Mus musculus: one gene and its partners. The protein of the gene in region 3 purifies or fractionates together with the protein of the main gene of each other region. This does not show direct contact. Links are inferred from orthologs where the notes say so. Each region holds a gene or a part of one and is shown on either strand. Other genes may lie near its edges. The genes, in order: Eef1g, Vars, Eef1a2 and Eef1b2.

Region 1 (4,959 bases), on a different chromosome or scaffold from region 3:
CCAAATCTTCCATGCACACACACAACTTAAATAGCAACTACAGCTGGGCAGTGGTAGTGCATACCTTGAGTTCCAGCACCCGGGGGTCAGAGGCAGGAGGCTCTCTAAGTTCCAGACCACTTGGTCTTCAGAATGAGTTTCAGGACAGCCAGAGTTATACACAGAAAACAGTCTCAAGCCCACCCGCCACCCCTCAAAAAAAAAAAGAAAAAGCAGGAATGCTACATCTGAAGTCTTCTTGGTCTCATACCAAAAAAGCAAACAAAAACTAGAAATTAGGACTCTCAGACAGAAGTCCCTGTCCTTTGGTATAATCCTTGCTGCAATTTCCAACTCTACAGTCAAGAGTATTTCTACATGCTGGTTTACAAGGCAATCACTTAAAACATCACAAAATGTAGGTGGGTCAAAACTGAGCCTGCATGGCTGCTCTGTAGTCAACTTGACCAGGCTAAATGAGTGAGTGGACCCCAGCTTTCATGTCTCTCTGCCCTTCCCAAAACAACTAAAGGGACGGATATTTTGTCTCGTTTTCCCTTTGTTTTTCCTCAGTTGTCCCAGCAATGAAAAAGTATTATGAAATAGACCATTATTGTGCACAGGAAGGTGGCTTTAGGAAGGGCAGAGATGCTAGACTTTGGGGACACACCTGTAATGCTAGTACTTGAGGTGCAAGGGCACAAGGTCCAGGTTCAAGGCAGCCTGGTCTGCACAATAACAAAGGAAGGCATGGTGGCATGCATCATGCTTGGGAGGCACAGGCAGGTCTATAGACTGCCTTTGAGCCACAGGAAGACCCTATCTGAAAAAAACAAAAACAACCCCCACTACACTCCACTTTAAACAGGCTTTTGTCCTTCTGTTAGAAAAATTCCAAGAGGCTGAGGACATGGCTCAGTGGGTAAAGTGCTTGCTATGCAAGCATGAGGAACTGAGTTCAGACCCTCAGCACAACCTGGACACATGAGACCTGGACTATACTTACACCCATCAGTATTGTAACAACCTAACATCGTAGCCCTAGATGTGAGAAGAGCACCAGCTTACCTCTTGGGCAGGTGAGCGAAAGGGTCCTTGGCCTTGGGCTCAGCAGCCAATGCCTGCTCACACTCATCCATCTCTTCCTCAGGAGCTGGGGCAGCTGCCTTTTTTTCCTCCTTCCGCTCAGCCTGGGGTTTCTGTTTCTCCTCTCGTGAACCCTTTTCTTTCCTTGGGGTATCTTTTTTAGGCTGGCTCTCTGCAAACTTCTTAGCTAGCAAAGGATGGAAGAAAGTAAACATACAGCCTCTTTCTTTTTTCTCCCAAACCCGGCAGCAGGCAGGGAAAGTGATGGCTCGGACAGCCTAAGAAGCCTCAAGAAGCAAAACACACATCGTCACACAGCACTGCAGTTTGATGTAAACGTCAGTTACTGGGTGACACCCACGTTCTCTGGGTGAACAAGGCTATGCAAGTCAAAGGGTTGACAGGCGCCAACTGGACCCTGACCCTATCACATGCCCAGTCTCTTCAGACTTACCATCAAACTGAGCCATCTTCTCACACAGCTTCACCTCCCCCAAGATAGCCCTGAACTGGGGCTGGTTAATGCAGGTAAGGAACCACCGGTTGGTATTGGGGAAGGCCTGGCGAAAAGAAGGCTCTAAGACCTGCCAAGAGGGAATGGCAGAAACAAGATCAATAATGGAAAGGCCATGAACAGATTTCAAACCACAGCAAAAGCCCCTTACCTCCAGGTCCACTGTCCTCTCCATGCCACATCAGAACCTTAAATGACTACACCTCCAGGAAGACTCCTTTTCAAAGAAAAGTTTTCAAAGAAGACTCCTTTTATGTGTATTGAGTGTTTTACCTACATATACACATATACGACATACATGCAGTGTTCCCTGAGGCCGTAAGACAGTGCCAGGATCCCTTGGAAATGGAGCTGTAGATGACTGAGGCATTATATGGGTGCTGGTAATTAAACCCTGGCGGAAGGGTGGCCATTGCCCTTAACCACATAACTGTTGAGCTCTTTCCAGTATTCTCTGTGTTTCAGTCAGCTTTATTACATAACCCAAGTGAGCCTTTCACATCAGGATCCTCCCATCTCCACTCTGCTGTGCTGGGAGTATAGGCGCTTTCTCCCTCGTCTTTAGTTCAGTCGAGGATGGCTGTTCCCAGTCCTTCATGCACCATTGCTACTTAATGATTTCATATTCTGCTCTTTCATCTATTCTTTTCTTTTAAAGTTTTATTTATTTCATGTAAGTGAGTACTGGTGTGTCTTCAGCCACACCAGAAGAGGGCATCAGATCCTATTACAGATGGTTGTGAGCCACCATGTGGTTGCTGGGAATTGAACTCAGGACCTCTGGAAAAGCAGCTGGCGCTCTTAACCACTGAGCCATCTCTCTAGCCCCTCTTTCATCTATTCTTAATTTTAAAAATTTCATGCCAACAATCCCAGCACCAAGAAAGCAAAGCAGAGGCAGGCAGAGCTGAGTTTTAGGGCAGCCTGGTCTACAGAGAAACCCTATCCCCCCCACCCCCCCAAAAAAGATTGAAAAGGCTGTAAGAAGAGCCTGTCTAGAGTACCGGGGGGGGCTAGGAATGTGGCTTAGTAGCAGGTGACCCAGACATTGGTCAAGGCACCGGGTTCCAAATCAGCACCCAAATGGGGTAGAGTGGGGTGACTACCACACTTATTTTGCTATGACAACCCTCCAAAAAAAGATACTTCGTGTGTGATGCTAGGAATGGGACATAAAGCATGCCAGGTAAATCACTGGGCTCCACGCTAGCCCCGCACTGCGACTCTAACACACACAGAAGGCACAAGCAACCCAAGACTAGATAGAGCAGCAACACAGCACGTGCCCAGCAGACACAACACAGTCCTTCCTTCAAACCTCGTCCTTGAAAAACTTACATTCATTCTTATGTTTTAGTGCTTTTCTTCCAAGTATATCTGTGCCCACTTAGATCATAAAACACCGGCTCCCCGAGTTGGCGTTATATAGTTTTAAGCTGCCATTTGTGTATTGGGAAATAAACATAGCCTCTGCAAAACAAGAACTCTTCGAGTGCTGAGCCATCTCTCCTGCCCCACACTACCATCTTACAAGCTCCTGTTTGGTACTTTTCTGTATCTGGGTGTCTTGCCTGTGCGTTTGTCTATGCACCACGTGCATTCCTAGGGCTCACGGAAGCTGGAACATCAGATCTTCTGGAAATGGAGTTCCAGTTGTGAGAAGCGTGTGGGTGCTGAGAATCCACCAGAGTCCTCTGGAAGAGCAGCAAGCATTTTTTAAAACTATTGACTCATCTCTCCAGCCCCTGTCATTTTCTACTTTGTCAAAACAGGAGTGGGTAGAAGGGTAAATCATGGAGACAGATCACAGAATTCAGTTAGTCACGCACCGCAAGTTCTGCAGTGACTTGAACATGTACTTGCTGTGTGTTGTGGCCATGGAAGGATTATAATGAACCCTGTGAGGCACACCAGTCTGGCAAACAATGGCATTTTTTTTTGTTCTCACTGGACTGTAATTCTGAACCAGAATGGGTCCAGAGCTGCTGCCGCCTAGAAATCAGCAACACAATATTAAAAAAAAAAAAAAAAACAAACATGGGGGTTGGGGGCAGCTGGGGATGGCTACCTGGTTTGATTCCTAGCACACACATAGTAGCTCACAGCCATCTGTAACTCAAGCTCCTTGGGATCTGCATGCATGCACACACATATGCAAATACATGTAGACATAAGCTGAATACCACCTTGGACTTATCACAGATAAATAACTATGAGAATTCTTATACCACTGCATCTTTAAACACTGAAGTTAAGACAGAGACCTGAATCTGCCTCCAAAAGCTCTCGCTGCTGCAGTCACTATCCCTGTCTCTTACATCTTTGATTTTTGCTTTCTATTTTTGATATCACTATGTAGCCTAGGGTGGCCTTAAACCAGAATGATCCTCCTGTCTCAGTATCTCAAGTGCTGGGATTACACAAGTATGAGCTACCACACGCAGCCTTTATCCATCTTTAATAAGATGGAAACAGTCACAGTTCTCACTGTTGGGATCCCTACAATCATTAACTACTGGTCTGTCTTAAGCAAAAACAGGGTTACCCTAATACAGGTCTAACCCCTGTCACATGGGATATAAACCTTACCTGTTTATAGAGCCACAACAGGGTACAGACAACTGTAATATCAGCCAGTGTCACTCGCTCGCCCACTAGAAAAGTTCGAGTCTTCAAGTGAGTGTCCAGCAGCCCCAGGATTCGCTTCACCTCCTCTTTCGCATTTTCAGTGGCCTGTTGTTTTGAATACTCAAGCTTAGTGGGTACCAAGTCCCTTTCCTCAGATCCCCCCACCAACAGAACTAAAGAAGCCATTTAACCAGCCATCGACTCAACCCCCACCCTCTATCATTAGACTCTAGAATCAGTTGAAACTTATCAGAAATGAAATCACTCGTGTTAGATATCTTCATGATCAACATGACTTTATTTGCACCATACTGATGGTAGCCACTTTAGTCTGCATTGCCCCCACACTCCTGCTATCTTTTCCTTCATCTGTCTCCCAGTCCCAAAATGTAGGCTCTGACTCTATCTCTGGCCCAGCTTCTCCCCAAGTTCCAAAGCGTACCTGTTTGTTGTGGTGCATAATGCCCAAGGTGGGGAACACCCAGGTACTAGCTGGAGGAACGATGTCACTGTCAGCAAAGCTGACCCACTGCACCACCTGAGCTGCCGCCTCTGGCGTACTTCCTCGCAGCTCCTCATTGCTTACTGCAAAGGCAGACATAGAGCTTAGAACTTTGACCTCATGCCAAAACCAAGCCGGGTCTCTGATTCCACCTTGTCCGCCACAGCCGCTTCTACAGCCTTACCCCCATACCCTCTCACGCCTGTATCCCCACAAATTACCATAATAGGCAATGGCATTGCTCTCAAAC
Region 2 (4,421 bases), on a different chromosome or scaffold from region 3:
GGCCCGGATGGTCATGCTCGGCCTGAAGCTCACTGGGAAGCTGCCCTTCAGAGAGGTGTGACTATGGCTAAGCCCCGCCCCTGCCCCGTGTCTCCTTACCTGCCTTCTTGGGTGGCTGTTGGCTAAGATTAGCTTGATGGGTCTGCCTCAGGGCTTCCTCTTCCCAGAGGAGGGGGCACTTGTCAGATACACTATGACCAGCCAGTAGGGCCACTAGGAACCTATGATTCCAAGTGGGCAGACTGGGGAGGGCCTTCAAGACTGGGAGGAGCATGGCCTCACAGTTCATCACGCCTCGTGCCCTCAGGTCTATCTCCATGCAATCGTGCGTGATGCTCATGGCAGGAAGATGAGCAAGTCTCTTGGCAATGTCATCGACCCCCTGGATGTCATCCATGGAGTTTCCTTGCAGGTGGGGTACTCAGTGGGTCAGCTAGAAACAACTTTGCAGCTGTGGCTAGAACGATCTGACACCTCCCATCTCCTCCCTAGGGCCTCTATGACCAACTACTGAACAGCAACCTGGATCCCAGTGAGGTGGAGAAAGCCAAAGAAGGACAGGTAAGGGGTGTGCTCCGGGGGTGGGCTGCAGCAGGTGGGCAGGAGTGGGTGTACCCCAGGGGTGGGCTGCAGCAGGTGGGCAACCTGACCACCCTGCTCAACCGCCCTGTTCCTCTGCATCCTCTGTAGAAGGCCGACTTTCCAGCAGGGATTCCCGAGTGTGGCACTGATGCCCTACGCTTTGGACTCTGTGCCTACACATCCCAAGGTATGGTCTCCCGACCTCCCTCAGTTGCCTGTTTTCTTCCCTGCAACCCGTGATCTCCTCTACCTTGGGCCTTCAGAGGACCTCTCTGAGAGGGCAACTGGGGTGGAATCACAGACATCCCTCCTCTAGGTCGAGACATCAACCTGGATGTGAACAGGATCCTGGGGTACCGTCACTTCTGCAACAAACTCTGGAATGCTACCAAGTTTGCCCTGCGCGGCCTTGGGAAGGGCTTTGTGCCCTCAGCAACCTCCAAGGTGAGGATCTTGTCGGTGGCCATCGGTGACAGTGCCTGTGCCCACACAGTCTGTGGCTCCCTCCACTCAAGTGTCAAGACTAAAGCTGCTGTCCCCTGAGATCCTCCTTTTAGTCAGGGACAGACAGGTGGAAGTTGATGATTGATGGGGAAGTCTCTGCAGCTTGGGGCCCATGAGGAATGCAGATTCTCCTGTGTCCCACTCTACTCCCTGCCCTGGTAGTGTGATGGCCTACTGCCTGACGTTTCTCTTCCCCCAAGCCTGAAGGGCACGAGAGCCTGGTGGACCGCTGGATCCGCAGCCGCCTAACTGAGGCCGTGAGGCTCAGCAATGAAGGCTTCCAGGCTTACGATTTCCCGGCCATCACCACCGCCCAGTACAGCTTTTGGCTCTATGAGCTCTGTGATGTCTATTTGGTGAGCAGCTGGGGCGGGGCCTGGGCACGTGTAGCTCTGACCTCAGCTTGGCCCTGAAACTTGAGGTCACCTTTTGGTTTTTCCAGTCCTAATGGGGGCAGCAGGGGAGGGGGCTCCAGGTGGGACCTGGCCCTGAGCCTTCTGCCTCCCCATCTCTAGGAGTGTCTAAAACCTGTGCTGAATGGAGTGGACCAGGTGGCGGCAGAGTGTGCTCGGCAGACCCTCTACACCTGCCTGGATGTTGGCCTGCGGCTGCTCTCGCCCTTCATGCCCTTTGTCACAGAGGAGCTATTCCAGAGACTGCCCCGGCGGACACCAAAAGCGCCTGCTAGCCTCTGTGTCACCCCGTACCCAGAGCCCTCAGAGGTATGAGGTGTGGCCTGGAGGGCATGCTGCTGCCCTCCTGAGCAGTCCTTTTCTCCCACTCTGCCCCACAGTGCTCCCCCTTTCCCCACTCTGCCCCACAGTGCTCCCCTTTTCCCCCCGTCTGACTCACAGTGCTCCCCCTCCCCCCACTCTGCCCTAGTGCTCCCCTTTTCCCCCAGTCTGACTCACAGTGCTCCCCCTTCCCCCACTCTGCCCCACAGTGCTCCTGGAAGGACCCTGAAGCTGAAGCTGCTCTTGAACTAGCTCTGAGCATCACTCGAGCTGTGCGCTCCCTGCGTGCTGACTACAACCTGACCCGCACCAGGCCCGACTGTAAGCCTCAGTCCCTCGCATCCACCTATCCCCTGACCTCCACGGCCCCTTGGGGAGCCCAGGGTCTGGCTGTACCTCGGCTTCCCTTTCCTCTTTTTCCCCCTCTTCGCTCTACAGGTTTCTTGGAAGTAGCCGATGAGGCCACAGGTGCCTTGGCCTCGGCAGTGTCGGGCTACGTGCAGGCTCTGGCCAGTGCGGGCGTGGTGGCTGTCCTCGCCCTGGGTGCTCCTGCACCGCAGGGCTGCGCTGTAGCTGTGGCTTCTGACCGCTGCTCCATCCACCTGCAGCTGCAGGGGCTAGTGGACCCAGCCCGGGAGTTGGGCAAGCTGCAGGCCAAGCGAAGTGAGGCACAGCGGCAGGCTCAGCGGCTGCAGGAGCGCCGTGCTGCCTCCAGCTACTCAGCAAAGGTGCCCCTTGAGGTCCAGGAGGCAGATGAAGCGAAGGTGTGTGGAGGGGATGGGGTATGCCAGTGGGTCGTGTGTGGCCAGGCAGCCTGTGGACTCCTGCACAGGTGGGGTTGTGTGTGCTCTGGGGCCCTTTGTCACTGTACTCTCAAGAAAAGAAGCGCTCTAGAGGAAGAGGGACTTGGAAGCCTGCTGCCCTGACTTCCTGGTCATCCTCACCCATCTCATCACCCTGGGCTCCTCTGCTCTCTGGGTGTTTAGGCTCCTTGGGTATGGGGTCACCACATACCTCTTTTGCACCCCCAGTTGCAACAGACAGAGGCGGAGCTCAGGAAGGTGGATGAGGCCATCGCCCTGTTCCAGAAGATGCTGTGACCCCCCATTCCAACCCTCAGCCCCCAGTGTTCCATCAACAGGGATGGCAGCAATAAAATATTTTCCCAACATTCGCTCTTGTCTGTGTGGTGTGGGCAGGGGGCGTACAGAGGCCTGACCTAGGGCTTCCCAGGAGCAGCAGGAGAACTGCCGGCTCCTGCCTGGCCCTGGTCCTGGTGGGCAGCAGGATGCGTCTGCCTGGGTCTGTCTCTGGCACAGTGCCAGGCCTGAGTCACGGTGCTCTGCTGCCAGCTCCCCGCCTCCCCAGTTCACCTCACTGCACTGCACTGCGCTGTGCCTGCGGAGGCCTGCCCTGGGCCCGCCCCGGCTTTCGCTACATCTTGTGGCTCTGGGTTGGCACGAATGGAAGATGGCCAGGGGCTGCCTGTCCTCAATCCCCTTGCTAAGAGCCTCCCTCTCACTCTACTGAGGCCCAGTTAATTATAACTCTGACCTAAGTGCCCTGTGACGCCACACCCAGGCCAGCGCTGCCCAGGAGACCCAGCTTCCAGGTAGGAGAGGCCTGAGGAGACTTCTATCCGTGGGGCAGGGCCAGGGCTCAGTCTGGTGTAGGAAGAGAATCTTGAGAGGGTCCTCCGGGGCCTCCGATGGCAGCTGTGGGCTCCACTGGCCTGACAGGCCCTTAGTTTGTATGGGTTGCAGGCACAGGGAGGGGAGCCACCCTGGAGTATATGGGGCACCTGAAGCAAAGCAGGAAGTGGGCAATAGGTGCCATGGTGACAGCAGGCCTGCCCTGCAATTGGTGGCTTTTTTTTCCCTTGAGGTGCTTCTGTTCCCTAGGTCCATGCTTCAGCCATGCTCCCTGTGGAGGTACCCCTGTCCCACCTGGGCCCCCCAATACTGCTTCTGCTTCAGCTGCTGTTGCCCCCAACATCTGCCTTCTTTCCCAACATCTGGAGCCTTCTGGCTGCCCCTGGCTCTGTCACTCACCAAGACCTGACTGAGGAGGCTGCACTCAATGTCACCCTTGTGCTCTTTCTGGAGCAGCCACACCCAGGCCGACCACGCCTCCATGTAGAGGACTACAGGGTGAGCACCTTAGATTCACCTGGGGTTTCTCAGAGGATCCTTGTCACAAGGAGGCTCCACCTTTGACTTGCTCACTTCCACACTTGTCCCTCCTCAATTCTGGTCCTGAAATCCTGAGTCGCCAGTCTTGGGAAAGTCTGTACCAAAAGAGATGTGATGGCACACACCTGTAATCCCAGCACTTAAGGAGAATGGAAGTTAAAGGCCAGCATGGGCTGCATAGTGAGCGCCAGGCTAGCCGGGTCAGCCAGTCCAAATCTGCTGCTCCCCTGTGGGTCTCTTGGCCCACCATTCTATTCAGCCTTGAGTGCCAGTTGCTAGGGTACTTCAGGCAGTGGTAGCATCCAAACGACTTCTGGAGTTTCTTTCCCTAACCACTCTTGCTAGGGCCGGACCCTCCTCGCCGATGACATCTTTGCTGCCTACTTTGGACCTGGGTTTTCTTCCCGGC
Region 3 (4,959 bases):
CTTTCTCCAGATAAGCTGAGAAGGGTTGCTGGTCCAGGATGGTACCTGGAGTGGGGGGTCTTGGTAGCCTGTTCCTGGTTGAGACCTACAAATGAGCAGTGGTTGTAACAGAATTCTCTTCTCTGCCCCTAACCCTGCTCATTCCGAGAAGAGCTGGCTCCTGGATAAGGGCTAAGGCAGATCTGAGGGCATCAACTGTCTATGCAGAGCTCCTGCTCCTGTGTGTATATGGGGCTTTGAGCCACAATTCTGTGTGTCTAGGCCTGATGCTTTTACCTTTTAGGGGTTGCGCTGAGGGGAGGAGGTAGGAGGGACCTGAGGGTTTGATGGCCACTTGGATCAGGTCCCAGCTGGGTTTTGTCTGGCTCTGTCTGGGTAGCCCCTCCAAGCTGGGCATCATCCCTGGAATGCAGAAGCAAACATGTCATGTGAGATTCTGGTAGGGAGTCATGTTCAGCTGAGCATCGATGACCACAAACCGTGGTCCAGGCTGTAGGAGTCTCACAAGGAGTCTCACCCTGGCACAGATTTGCAAAGAGCAGCCAGCCTTGCTCTTGGTGGGGCTGTTTCTACTTCTGTTTTGGTGGAAGTGGGGAGGGGAGATGCCTCAGAGTTATTCATCAGCTGCAGGAAGAGCTGGAACCGGGATTTTCTCAAAACCTTGAACAATTTACTCATTTTTAAAATTTTCCCTTAAAAAAATAACTTAGAGAGTTGTTTTGTTTTTAACAGTCCCAAACCTAATGAGATAATTGATCTCTAATTGGGTGTAGAGCCTTAGCCTCAGGTGGCAAGGATAGTTTGGCAACTCCCAGGCCCTCACGCCCTCTGCTGGGGGACTTGCATGTCCACAACCATTGAGGAAGGGAGTGAGGGTGGGGCTGGCTGATCTGGGCAGCCTGGGGTGAGGCAGAGCAGGGTTTGGGGATCAACACCAGAGAGATGGGACAGAGGTCTTCAGTTCAAAGTGCTTTAAGCCAACTGTCACTTCTCCATGGCTGCTCCCATGGGCCAGGGCAGGCATGGCAGGTGGATGTGACCTCAGAGTCCTGTGTCTTATCCTGAGTTGTGCCTCTACCCTTCCAGATGGGGAAGGGCTCTTTTAAATATGCCTGGGTGCTGGACAAGCTGAAGGCCGAGCGGGAACGAGGCATCACCATCGACATCTCCCTCTGGAAGTTTGAGACCACCAAGTACTACATCACCATCATCGATGCTCCAGGACACCGAGACTTCATCAAGAATATGATTACAGGCACATCCCAGGTGTGCACAGAGGGCACCTAGCTCAGTGACTCGGGGCCCAAGAGCTCTCTTCAGGTGTCAGCGTCTCTTGCACTTTCTGTCTCGGCAGACCTCTACCCATGTCATCTCCATGTCCTCTCCATCCTGTTGGGCATAGAGTCCCTCAAGAACTGAGTCAGTGTTTATATCTCAGCTAGACCGGGTGCCTGCAGGGTTACCTCTGCTGGGGCCAGCAGACAGACCAAGGGTGACATGTAGGCATATCTTTCACACATAGATTTTTATAGAAGAGCCCAGAGTAGATACAGTGACATATGGGTAGAAAAGCAGTCAGTCAGTCACAGGCAGAGAGGACAGAACCAGAGGGGATCAGTGACTCATCCAAGGACCATACCCTGCTGGCAGTGGAGTTGATGGCCAGTCTGGGCCTCCTTGACTCAGGGTCTGGTGGAAGATTCCCCTGTTGCCCTTGAGGTAGATACCCTGAATCTCTACCCCCAGCATAACTGCCCAGGCCCCATTATGTGGGTGGCAGGGCCAGGTCGAAGGCAGGGCCGGGTGGGGACTCACTGTGTCTGACCTGTTGGCTAGGCGGACTGCGCAGTGCTGATCGTGGCAGCCGGTGTGGGCGAGTTTGAGGCGGGCATCTCCAAGAACGGGCAAACCCGGGAACACGCACTCCTGGCCTACACTCTGGGTGTGAAGCAGCTCATTGTGGGTGTCAACAAGATGGACTCCACGGAACCAGCCTACAGCGAGAAGCGCTATGATGAGATTGTTAAGGAGGTCAGCGCCTACATCAAGAAGATCGGCTACAACCCAGCCACGGTGCCCTTCGTGCCCATCTCGGGCTGGCATGGTGACAACATGCTGGAGCCTTCACCTAATGTGAGTGGAGATGGTATGGTGGGGACAGTGCTGGCCTTCTCAAGAGCCCAGGGCTCCAAGGCTCCAGGCCAGGGTGGGCCAGGCTCCCTTTGGTCTTGCTAGGTTTCTGTGAGCTCTGTGGTGATGAAGACCTCCTAGTAAGGGACCTGCATTTGAAGTTCTCTGACTCAGCCTCCTTAAGAGGCCAAAAGAGGAAGATAAGGCCCTTTTTCTGGCAAATGATGGTTTCATCAAGTCATCCCTACAGACACTGCCTGTTGGATCCCGGATCTCACTATGGGGGAAAAACAGTTTTTATTTCTCCGAAGTCACTGCCCTGGGTTTAAATACTATTCAGGCCGGGTGTGGTGATGCACACCTTTAATCCCAGCACTTGGGAGGCAGAGGCAGGTGGATTTCTGAGTTTGAGGCCAGCCTGGTCTACAAAGTGAGTTCCAGGACAGCCAGGGCTATACAGAGAAACCCTGCCTCAAAAAAACAAAAAAGAAAAAAAAATCAAAAACAAAACAACAACAACAAAAAACTATTCAGAATCAGTAAGGCCACATGGTTTTTTTCAGCTGCCTCCCCCTTTAGTCTGAAGTGGGTTGGTATCTGGGAAGGAAGCATGTCCGGAGGCTAGCCTGAAGAGTGGAGGATTGTGTTTGGGCAGGTCATGTGGAAGCTTGAAACTTAGACAGTCTGCAGCTCTGGGTTGGGACTCTTACTTGGGAGTAAAGAGGAAGACATTTTTCAGAGACAGCCTGGGACCTAGACCTTGGTCTATCCAGAGGAAACCCCTGTCCTAGAAAGGTGGGTACTCAGCTATAGCCAGCTTTGCAGCTGCCACTGTGAGTAAAATGATAGAAGCCTAGGTTCTCTGGAGATAGCTGGGGACCCAGTGCCTGGTGGTATAAGGACAGAGTTTGGCGGGCAGGGGATACTCCATTTTGTTCTTGCTGATGTATGATTAGCAGGACTTTAGAATCCCCTGGACACTTCTGATCAGCAGAAACTCCTCTGCTCCCTACTGCTCTATTGTGCTCTGGGGCTATGCCCATCCATACGTTGAGAGTCATCTGTTGACCTGAGGTGCTTGGAACTTGGCCATGAATACTAAGGCAGGAGTGCACAAAGCCCCTTGGGTGGATTTACTTCTTGTCTGTGGCAGGTGGACCATGAGGAGCTCTGTCAGGGGGGTTTGAAGTCATCCTCCAGAGAGGCCATTGTAGTGGTGGTGGTGGTGGTGGTGGTAGTGGTGGTGGTGGTGCTAGACCTGAGCTTGGAGATAGTTTGGTATGGAGCAGAACTCTGGGGTAAGGGCAGAGGGTGGATTTTATCCATGGCATGGTCATTGGCTAGACTTGGGTCCCCATTCCCCTGGTACTTGTCCTGTCTAGGGCTATGATTGATCAGATCCCAGGGGAATTAGGGAATCAGGCCAGGCTGAGTGGTCTCATTTGTAAGTGGTGGGGGCATGACAGCAGTCTGGGGAAGCTGTTTTTGTTTGCTTGATTTGTCACTTCCCTCTTTCCTAAGCTGTGTTTGTTCAGGGTCCCTGTGAGGCTAGGAAGGAGAGGAGGGATAAGGAGCAAGCTATTCAGCTTGAATGGTCAAGCTCCCTTCCCAGGCTACCCCTTAGGCAGGTCCAGGAGATCGGAGGCTGAGGGTCAGGTCAGGTGAGTTGCTCTGTGATAACTGGCACCCTTTTGTTTTCCTTTTTGGTACTGCCCAGATGCCATGGTTCAAGGGCTGGAAAGTAGAGCGTAAGGAAGGAAATGCAAGCGGCGTGTCCCTGCTGGAAGCCCTGGACACAATCCTGCCCCCCACCCGCCCCACTGACAAGCCCCTTCGTCTGCCTCTGCAGGATGTGTACAAGATTGGGGGTGAGTGAGGGTTCAGTGCTGGGGCTCACTGCGGCAGGCGCTTGCCTACTCTGCTCCAAACCCTGACTAGGATATCAACAAGGAATCTTGATTCTTGCTCTATCTACCCACCCTATCCATCCGTCTACTCAGTCACCCCTCCCACTCACCTCCACAGTGGCCCCTCCCACCTACCATTTGTTCACTCAGCCTTCCATAGGATCCCTTTCCCACTCCGTACCCCCTCCAGCACTCAGCCACAAGCTAGGGACATAAGATAGGAGTATTGAACCGACTTACACTTTGCCTGCAGGGTGGAGGGTGCCTGTCTCATAGGAGGCAATCCTAGTCCAGGAGTGAGAAATATAGGTCACATGGGCCAACAGAAACCAAAGCCTCATATGAGACGAGCAAAGGGAGGGGAATGCGAATATCACGCTCACGCTTAACTCCAACACAGAGCATGACTGTTGGCTTTTCTCTGCCATCCCATAATGCCACTCCACCCACAAGCTTCCAGGAGATGCTGGAGAGCTCTCCCTCTCCCAGCCACTTGCTCATCATGGTATCCCTGTGGAAGCCAGACCGTCTGTGTGAGCAGGCCTGTCAGAAGGGCTGTGGCCAGATGCCTCTTCAGTGGCAGGACCACAGTGCTACAGCAGGACTCAGGGAGTCCCGTGAGGGCAGGAGTAGACCCAGCGCCAGGAGTAGATTGGGCCACACACCACAGGGAGGGGTTCTCAGGGAAGGAGGAGGAGCTTGTGATGTTCCTCCCTTCTCTGCCCTGCCCCTCATCCTTGAGTCTGCCGGGAGAGACTCCTTCTGTCTCACCCTCTGCTTGTCTAGGGACCCCCTGTCTACGTATACCCTCCGTGAGGTTATCTCCCTTGACCCCTTCAGAGAGGAACAAGTCCTGAGCTCCATATACTTTCAGGCTCCCTGCTTGTATGTTTTGCCCTGCACCGCTCCTCTGGCCTGCCAT
Region 4 (5,412 bases), on a different chromosome or scaffold from region 3:
ATGAAGCTTCATCCCATAAAAACAGCCTGCACTACATCAAGAGTTTGGGGATAACCTGGCTTCTACACTGTACAGTTTGTTTTACTGGGGTTTTCTACTTGGTGGGGTTTGTTTGTTTGTAGACAGACCTCATGTACCTCAGACTGGCTTCACACTTGCTATGAAGTCAAGGATTAACTTGGACTCCTAAACTTCAGGCCTCCACTTCCCAAGCAAGGAGCAGAATTATCAACACGCACCACCATGTCCAGATTGGTATATATTTTACTGTTGTTGTTGTTGTTGACATTCATTTACTTACTCCGTGAGTGTCACCATAAACACACAAGGAGGTGGGTGGGGCGGGTGCCTGTGAAAGTTAAAGGACACCCTTTGAAAGTCAGTTCTTTCTTTCCATCAATGTGGGTCCTGGAGATCTAACTCAGGATGTCAGGATTGGCAAGCATCATTTCCAACTAAGATCTTTCCCAGCTCTAATATGTATTTTAGACATAGTATCTACCAAATAGGAACAAAAATAGCCAGTCAAGTCAGGGATGTAGCTCAGTTAGTAGAGTCCTTACCTAATCACACACAAAGTTCTCCGTTCAATCCTCACATCTCAGCCTCCCCTTTCTGGAATTACAGACAGGTACCATCATCACACCCTGGCTCTAATATCTTGGCTGTATCTTATAAAAGTAACTTTCTAAAAGGCGCTGATGAGCTGGCTTAGAATATTAGATTTAGTGATGGGGTGGGGGTGGATCCCAGAAATCTGTTTGGTCTTACAGACATGAACCTCACAAACTTGAAGACACCGCAGCTTCCTGATCTGCAGCGGACTCCAGGCTAACTTTTTAAGATTCATTTTTAGTTTATGTGTGCATGTGCTTATCTGTGTGTGGGTAATGTGCACTTCTAAGTGCCGGTGCTCACAGTCCAAAAGAGAGTGGAGAATTCCCTGATAAGGTTACATGGCAGCTGGGAGTCTTCTGACTGGGCTAGTGGGAACCGAACTCGGATCCTCTCTGCAAGGCACTCTTAACCGCTTGACTCTCCCTCCAGCTCCGACTGAGCTAACTTTTAGTTTTTGTCAGTTCTCCCCGTCGGTGGAATGAATAAAATACTACCCAACATGATCACCGGGCTAGACAAAAACAAACAGTAGCGTGGACAGGTTCAAGACAGCAACTAAACCGATGCCTGAGGTTTAAGTCTCTCGTGACCCTGGGAGATGAACCGGTCTCCTGATGACAGGGCCATCTCCTGTCTTCCCCTGCAAAGAGAGAGTAGCTCGCAAGCCCGGACTCCCAAAGGTCTCCTGATCGGCTTAGGCTCCATCAGACCAGAAACCAAGGCTCATAACCCTCACCTGCCGGCTCTCCCGGGTTCCAGAGGTGGCGGGGCAGGAGCTGGTACCCAGTCAAGGGCAAGAGGAGAACGGCTTGTCTGACCTATGGGATGCAGACCTGCCAAAAAAGAAAACACCACTCGAAGCGCTTCAACTTGCCCACTTCAACGCGTCCTCACCTTTCCTCCGGAGCCCACCGAGTAGTTCCGCGGACCTGTCCGGGTCTCCCTGACCCCTCAAAACCCTGGCCGCTAAGTCAATATGGCGGCCACGGCAACCTCTGTCAGCCCGACCTGGAGGACGGAAAGCCAGGAGGGACTAGAAACACAGATTCGACTGTTTTTCCCCGTCTTCGGACCTGTTCGGCAATTTCCGAGAGCGAGCCCGGGAGGAAGCGGAGAAGACGACTTGGACCTGCAGTTCCGCCGGAAGTAGCCGAGGCCTTGCGTCCGAGCGCTTTCGTTCAACTCCGGCTCCTCAGAGGGCGTTTCCCTTCGTTTCGGAGTCCTTGGAGCGAAGGCATTTTAAAATGCCTCCTTTATTAATTTTCTTCCAAAGACAAGGGAAGGCCGGCGGACGACCTGTGGGCCCTTTAGTTACCAAGTCGCAGTGGTACGCGGAGGACCGAGACTAGGAACGGACCTTGACCTTTAACCTCTAGCCGGGGCGGCGGAGGGAAACGCCTCCGTCTCTATATAAGGAGTTTTCCGGACGCTCTGGGTCCTTTTTTTCCCTCAGCGCTGGCCGCGGCCTCCCGGCGCTCTCGTCCTCCGCTTTTGCACAGCTCCCCGTTCCAGCCTTCGCCATGGGATTCGGAGACCTGAAAACCCCTGCCGGCCTCCAGGTGCTCAACGATTACCTGGCGGACAAGAGCTACATTGAGGGGTGAGCAGGAGCCGAGAGGCTGGGGGGCCGGGGCCACGTGGCGCGGGCTCGGCGGGAAGGAAGCGGGTCTCCGGATGCTGGGGGACGCCGAGTCAGTGCTCCCGGGGCCGGGATGCCAATGGAGCGGGACCTCCCGGGAGGGGCTGCCAGCATTATAATTGAGATGATGCTTGCTCTCCGTGTGCCCACGTCCAGCTGGTTCTTCCGCGTCTTTGGACAAGTTAGTTTGTTAGTTGAAACCTGTGGCAAGTCTGGTGGGATGAGTTCTCCTGGGTGGCAGATAGTTCTTGGGCTTGCCTAGATTCAAACATGTTCTGTGTCCTTTCAATGAGAAGCAACTTAGGCTAGCCCTGTAATTGTTCTCACTAGTTAGCTTGACGGATATGGGCTATGTCATTTACCAGCTAGTGTTTGTGTCTTTTCTTTTAAAGGTCTGTGCACTTGTTTTTGTGTCACTGGCAGGTACGTGCCATCACAAGCAGACGTGGCAGTATTTGAAGCAGTTTCTGGTCCACCACCTGCTGACCTGTGTCATGCCCTACGTTGGTATAATCACATCAAGTCGTATGAAAAAGAAAAGGCCAGGTAAAGGTATCTTTGTGCTACCTGGATTTTCACATGCAAAGTAGGGACCGGGTTAAAGTTGGCTTTAGCATTGCTGACCTAGTGTGAGCTGAATTTCTTTGTGACCTTACAAGGCCAAGAGACTGAAGTCCTCCATTTTCTCACAGAACAGGTAGAACATGGACAACCGCAGTTCACCTTTCCCACACCTCTCTGATCATGTGCTTTGGACCTGGGGGGGCCACCGCTGGGGTGTGAGGGTAGCTCGCTCATTCGGTCCCTGGCCATTCTTCTGAAACTACCAGCAAGGGTGGAAGTTTGGGGAAGTGGATTCCAGTTCACTAAGAATGGAAGTGAGCATACTTAATGAAATCTCAAACAGATGTTCATTCTGAAAGAGTAAGCCGTAGTGAGTACTGAATACAATGTCTCCCATGGGTGAAGAGTAAAGTTATTTGCCTGGGATTGTGCTAAAGGTTAAATAACCAGAAGAGAGTGGGAGTTCCTGGGAAAGGAAGATTGTGTGTTTTGCCTAGAAAGGGCTTTGACACTGACCTAATGTGGCAGAATGTTTGTTTTCAAGCCTGCCGGGAGTGAAGAAATCTTTGGGCAAGTATGGCCCTAGCAGTGTAGAAGACACCACAGGAAGTGGAGCTGCAGATGCTAAGGATGATGACGACATTGATCTCTTTGGATCTGATGATGAGGAGGTATGACTTCATCTTTATCCAAGCATATTGAGAAGCCTGAGGACAGATGCCATAGCCACTCCCTGGATGGATCCTGGCGTGGCTTTATTGTCTGCCTTTTAAAATTTATCACTGGGTACATGATGAATAAAATCAAATCACCTTCTTTCGGCTGAGCTCCTGATGGATTTGCTTTTTCTGATAAATCTGGTGGGTTTTGTGATGACCTTGTCACTACATTTAAGCAGAAGATAACCAACTTTGTGAAACATCTTTTCTCTGTACAGGAAAGTGAGGAAGCAAAGAAGCTACGAGAAGAACGCCTTGCACAGTATGAGTCCAAGAAAGCTAAAAGTGGGTAATCTTCATTGTTAGTAGTGTTGATTTCAGGAGCTTGTCCAGTGCTTGCCCTAAAGTGGATTTTCCCCAGTTAAATTGAATGGGTCAATATTTTAAAACTTCCACAGCTACTGGTCTACAGCTGTCTTTATGGTAGCAGTTGTAGCATTCCTCTGTGGGAAAGAAACTGTTACACAATTTAATGCCTCTTTCTTAGCCACACAGGAGGAGGATTATGTGTGACAGACACAAGGCAAATTGTGTGTGTGTTTGACAAAAAGATGGTCTGTTTTAAAACAAATTTGAGATTTGACTTAATGGTGAAAGTGTTGAGTGTTTAGGTGCACTTCTTAATCTTCCTTAGAGCCTGCAGTTGTTGCGAAGTCTTCCATCCTACTAGACGTGAAGCCTTGGGATGATGAGACGGACATGACAAAACTAGAGGAGTGTGTCCGAAGCATTCAAGCAGATGGCCTGGTGTGGGGCTCCTGTAAGTGTGATGCTTGTGTTTTAGGGATTTGTGCGTTTTCCCGTAAGGATTTCCTAACATTTACCCCTTGATGTTCTTTTTTAGCTAAATTGGTTCCAGTGGGATATGGAATTAAAAAGCTTCAAATACAGTGTGTAGTTGAAGATGATAAGGTTGGAACGGATATGCTGGAAGAGCAAATTACTGCTTTTGAGGACTACGTACAGTCCATGGATGTGGCTGCTTTTAACAAGATTTAAATCATTCTTAAGTCAGTGCACTTAAATAAAAGCTTGAAAGATAACCCTTGGCTCTTCATTTTGCTGTGAAATGGTATGTCTTCATTTTGAAGGAAAGGATTCAGTGTAACTCATTAGTGGCGAAAACTTGAACTGGAAAGAGAAATAGCTCAGCATTTTTAAACCACTCAGCTTGATGACCAGACCAACCTGAAGTTGTCTTTTAGCCAACACTGTGTGTACCATAGATATAATTAAAAGGAAGATAAAGAACTGATGTGTTATTAAAGATTTAGCAATTAGAGTATACTTTTGTGATTAGTGAAATAATTCTTTTGCTGTTAGCAGTACATGATACTATTGATAAACTGTCACTAGATGCCTTCGATGTCTTTCTGAAAAACTGAATCTTGGGCTGCTGAGATGACTCTATGATAGCCACTGAGGTTGCTTACTGTTTGGTTCACTCCATAGAGTAAGAGCGAAACTCTAGAAGGTGCTCTGATGGCCACGAGCACAACACCTGTACATAAGAGTTTTTGGAAGTGTCCTGAAAGGAACATTGTAGGCTCATAAGGTGGTCAAGTGTGGGTTTTCAGAACTCAACCTAGAGATGGAGGGAAGTGCTGGGGGAGGCAGTATGCGCAAAGCTATTCCTTGGAGACACTTGTGGGAGGTTATGCTGCTCTAGAAGTACGTTATGAAATGTATCACAGGGCTGGAGAGATGGTTAAGAACACCAACTGCTCTTCTGAAGGTTGTGAGTTCAAATCCCAGCAACCGCATGGTGGCTCACAACCATCTGTAATGGGATCTGACACCCTTTTCTGATGCTTCCGAAGACAGCTACAGTGTACTTAGATATAATAATAAATAAATCTTTTTTAAAAAAAT

Evidence for each region.
Region 1: the proteins of Eef1a2 (region 3) and Eef1g purify together in Homo sapiens (affinity purification with mass spectrometry; 4 studies listed by BioGRID and IntAct, counting the BioPlex papers as one, with this or other methods). This does not show direct contact. The link is inferred for Mus musculus from reciprocal best matches to the Homo sapiens genes EEF1A2 and EEF1G.
Region 2: the proteins of Eef1a2 (region 3) and Vars purify together in Homo sapiens (co-immunoprecipitation; 3 studies listed by BioGRID and IntAct, counting the BioPlex papers as one, with this or other methods). This does not show direct contact. The link is inferred for Mus musculus from reciprocal best matches to the Homo sapiens genes EEF1A2 and VARS1.
Region 4: the proteins of Eef1a2 (region 3) and Eef1b2 purify together in Homo sapiens (co-immunoprecipitation; 4 studies listed by BioGRID and IntAct, counting the BioPlex papers as one, with this or other methods). This does not show direct contact. The link is inferred for Mus musculus from reciprocal best matches to the Homo sapiens genes EEF1A2 and EEF1B2.

What each region holds. Positions count from the first base shown.
Region 1 is NC_000085.6:8,969,197-8,974,155, reverse strand, and holds part of Eef1g (elongation factor 1-gamma), read right to left. Parts: coding exon 4,931-4,959; intron 4,793-4,930; coding exon 4,650-4,792; intron 4,313-4,649; coding exon 4,169-4,312; intron 1,650-4,168; coding exon 1,520-1,649; intron 1,253-1,519; coding exon 1,048-1,252; intron 1-1,047. UniProt on the Homo sapiens protein: Probably plays a role in anchoring the complex to other cellular components.
Region 2 is NC_000083.6:35,013,336-35,017,756, forward strand, and holds the end of Vars (valine--tRNA ligase), read left to right. Parts: coding exon 1-55; intron 56-307; coding exon 308-412; intron 413-492; coding exon 493-561; intron 562-690; coding exon 691-769; intron 770-898; coding exon 899-1,026; intron 1,027-1,286; coding exon 1,287-1,442; intron 1,443-1,601; coding exon 1,602-1,808; intron 1,809-2,029; coding exon 2,030-2,141; intron 2,142-2,258; coding exon 2,259-2,584; intron 2,585-2,851; coding exon 2,852-2,920; 3' UTR 2,921-2,994; downstream 2,995-4,421. Other genes in the region: Vwa7 (von Willebrand factor A domain-containing protein 7 isoform 1 precursor), read left to right, coding at 3,737-3,970, 4,358-4,421. UniProt on the Homo sapiens protein: Catalyzes the attachment of valine to tRNA(Val).
Region 3 is NC_000068.7:181,149,958-181,154,916, reverse strand, and holds part of Eef1a2 (elongation factor 1-alpha 2), read left to right. Parts: intron 1-1,086; coding exon 1,087-1,266; intron 1,267-1,836; coding exon 1,837-2,133; intron 2,134-3,847; coding exon 3,848-3,998; intron 3,999-4,959. UniProt on the Homo sapiens protein: Translation elongation factor that catalyzes the GTP-dependent binding of aminoacyl-tRNA (aa-tRNA) to the A-site of ribosomes during the elongation phase of protein synthesis.
Region 4 is NC_000067.6:63,175,074-63,180,485, forward strand, and holds the start of Eef1b2 (elongation factor 1-beta), read left to right. Parts: upstream 1-1,757; 5' UTR 1,758-2,138; coding exon 2,139-2,218; intron 2,219-2,680; coding exon 2,681-2,803; intron 2,804-3,365; coding exon 3,366-3,492; intron 3,493-3,603; exon of another isoform or gene 3,604-3,681; intron 3,682-3,758; coding exon 3,759-3,825; intron 3,826-3,949; exon of another isoform or gene 3,950-4,062; intron 4,063-4,174; coding exon 4,175-4,300; intron 4,301-4,384; coding exon 4,385-4,539; 3' UTR 4,540-5,412. UniProt on the Homo sapiens protein: Catalytic subunit of the guanine nucleotide exchange factor (GEF) (eEF1B subcomplex) of the eukaryotic elongation factor 1 complex (eEF1).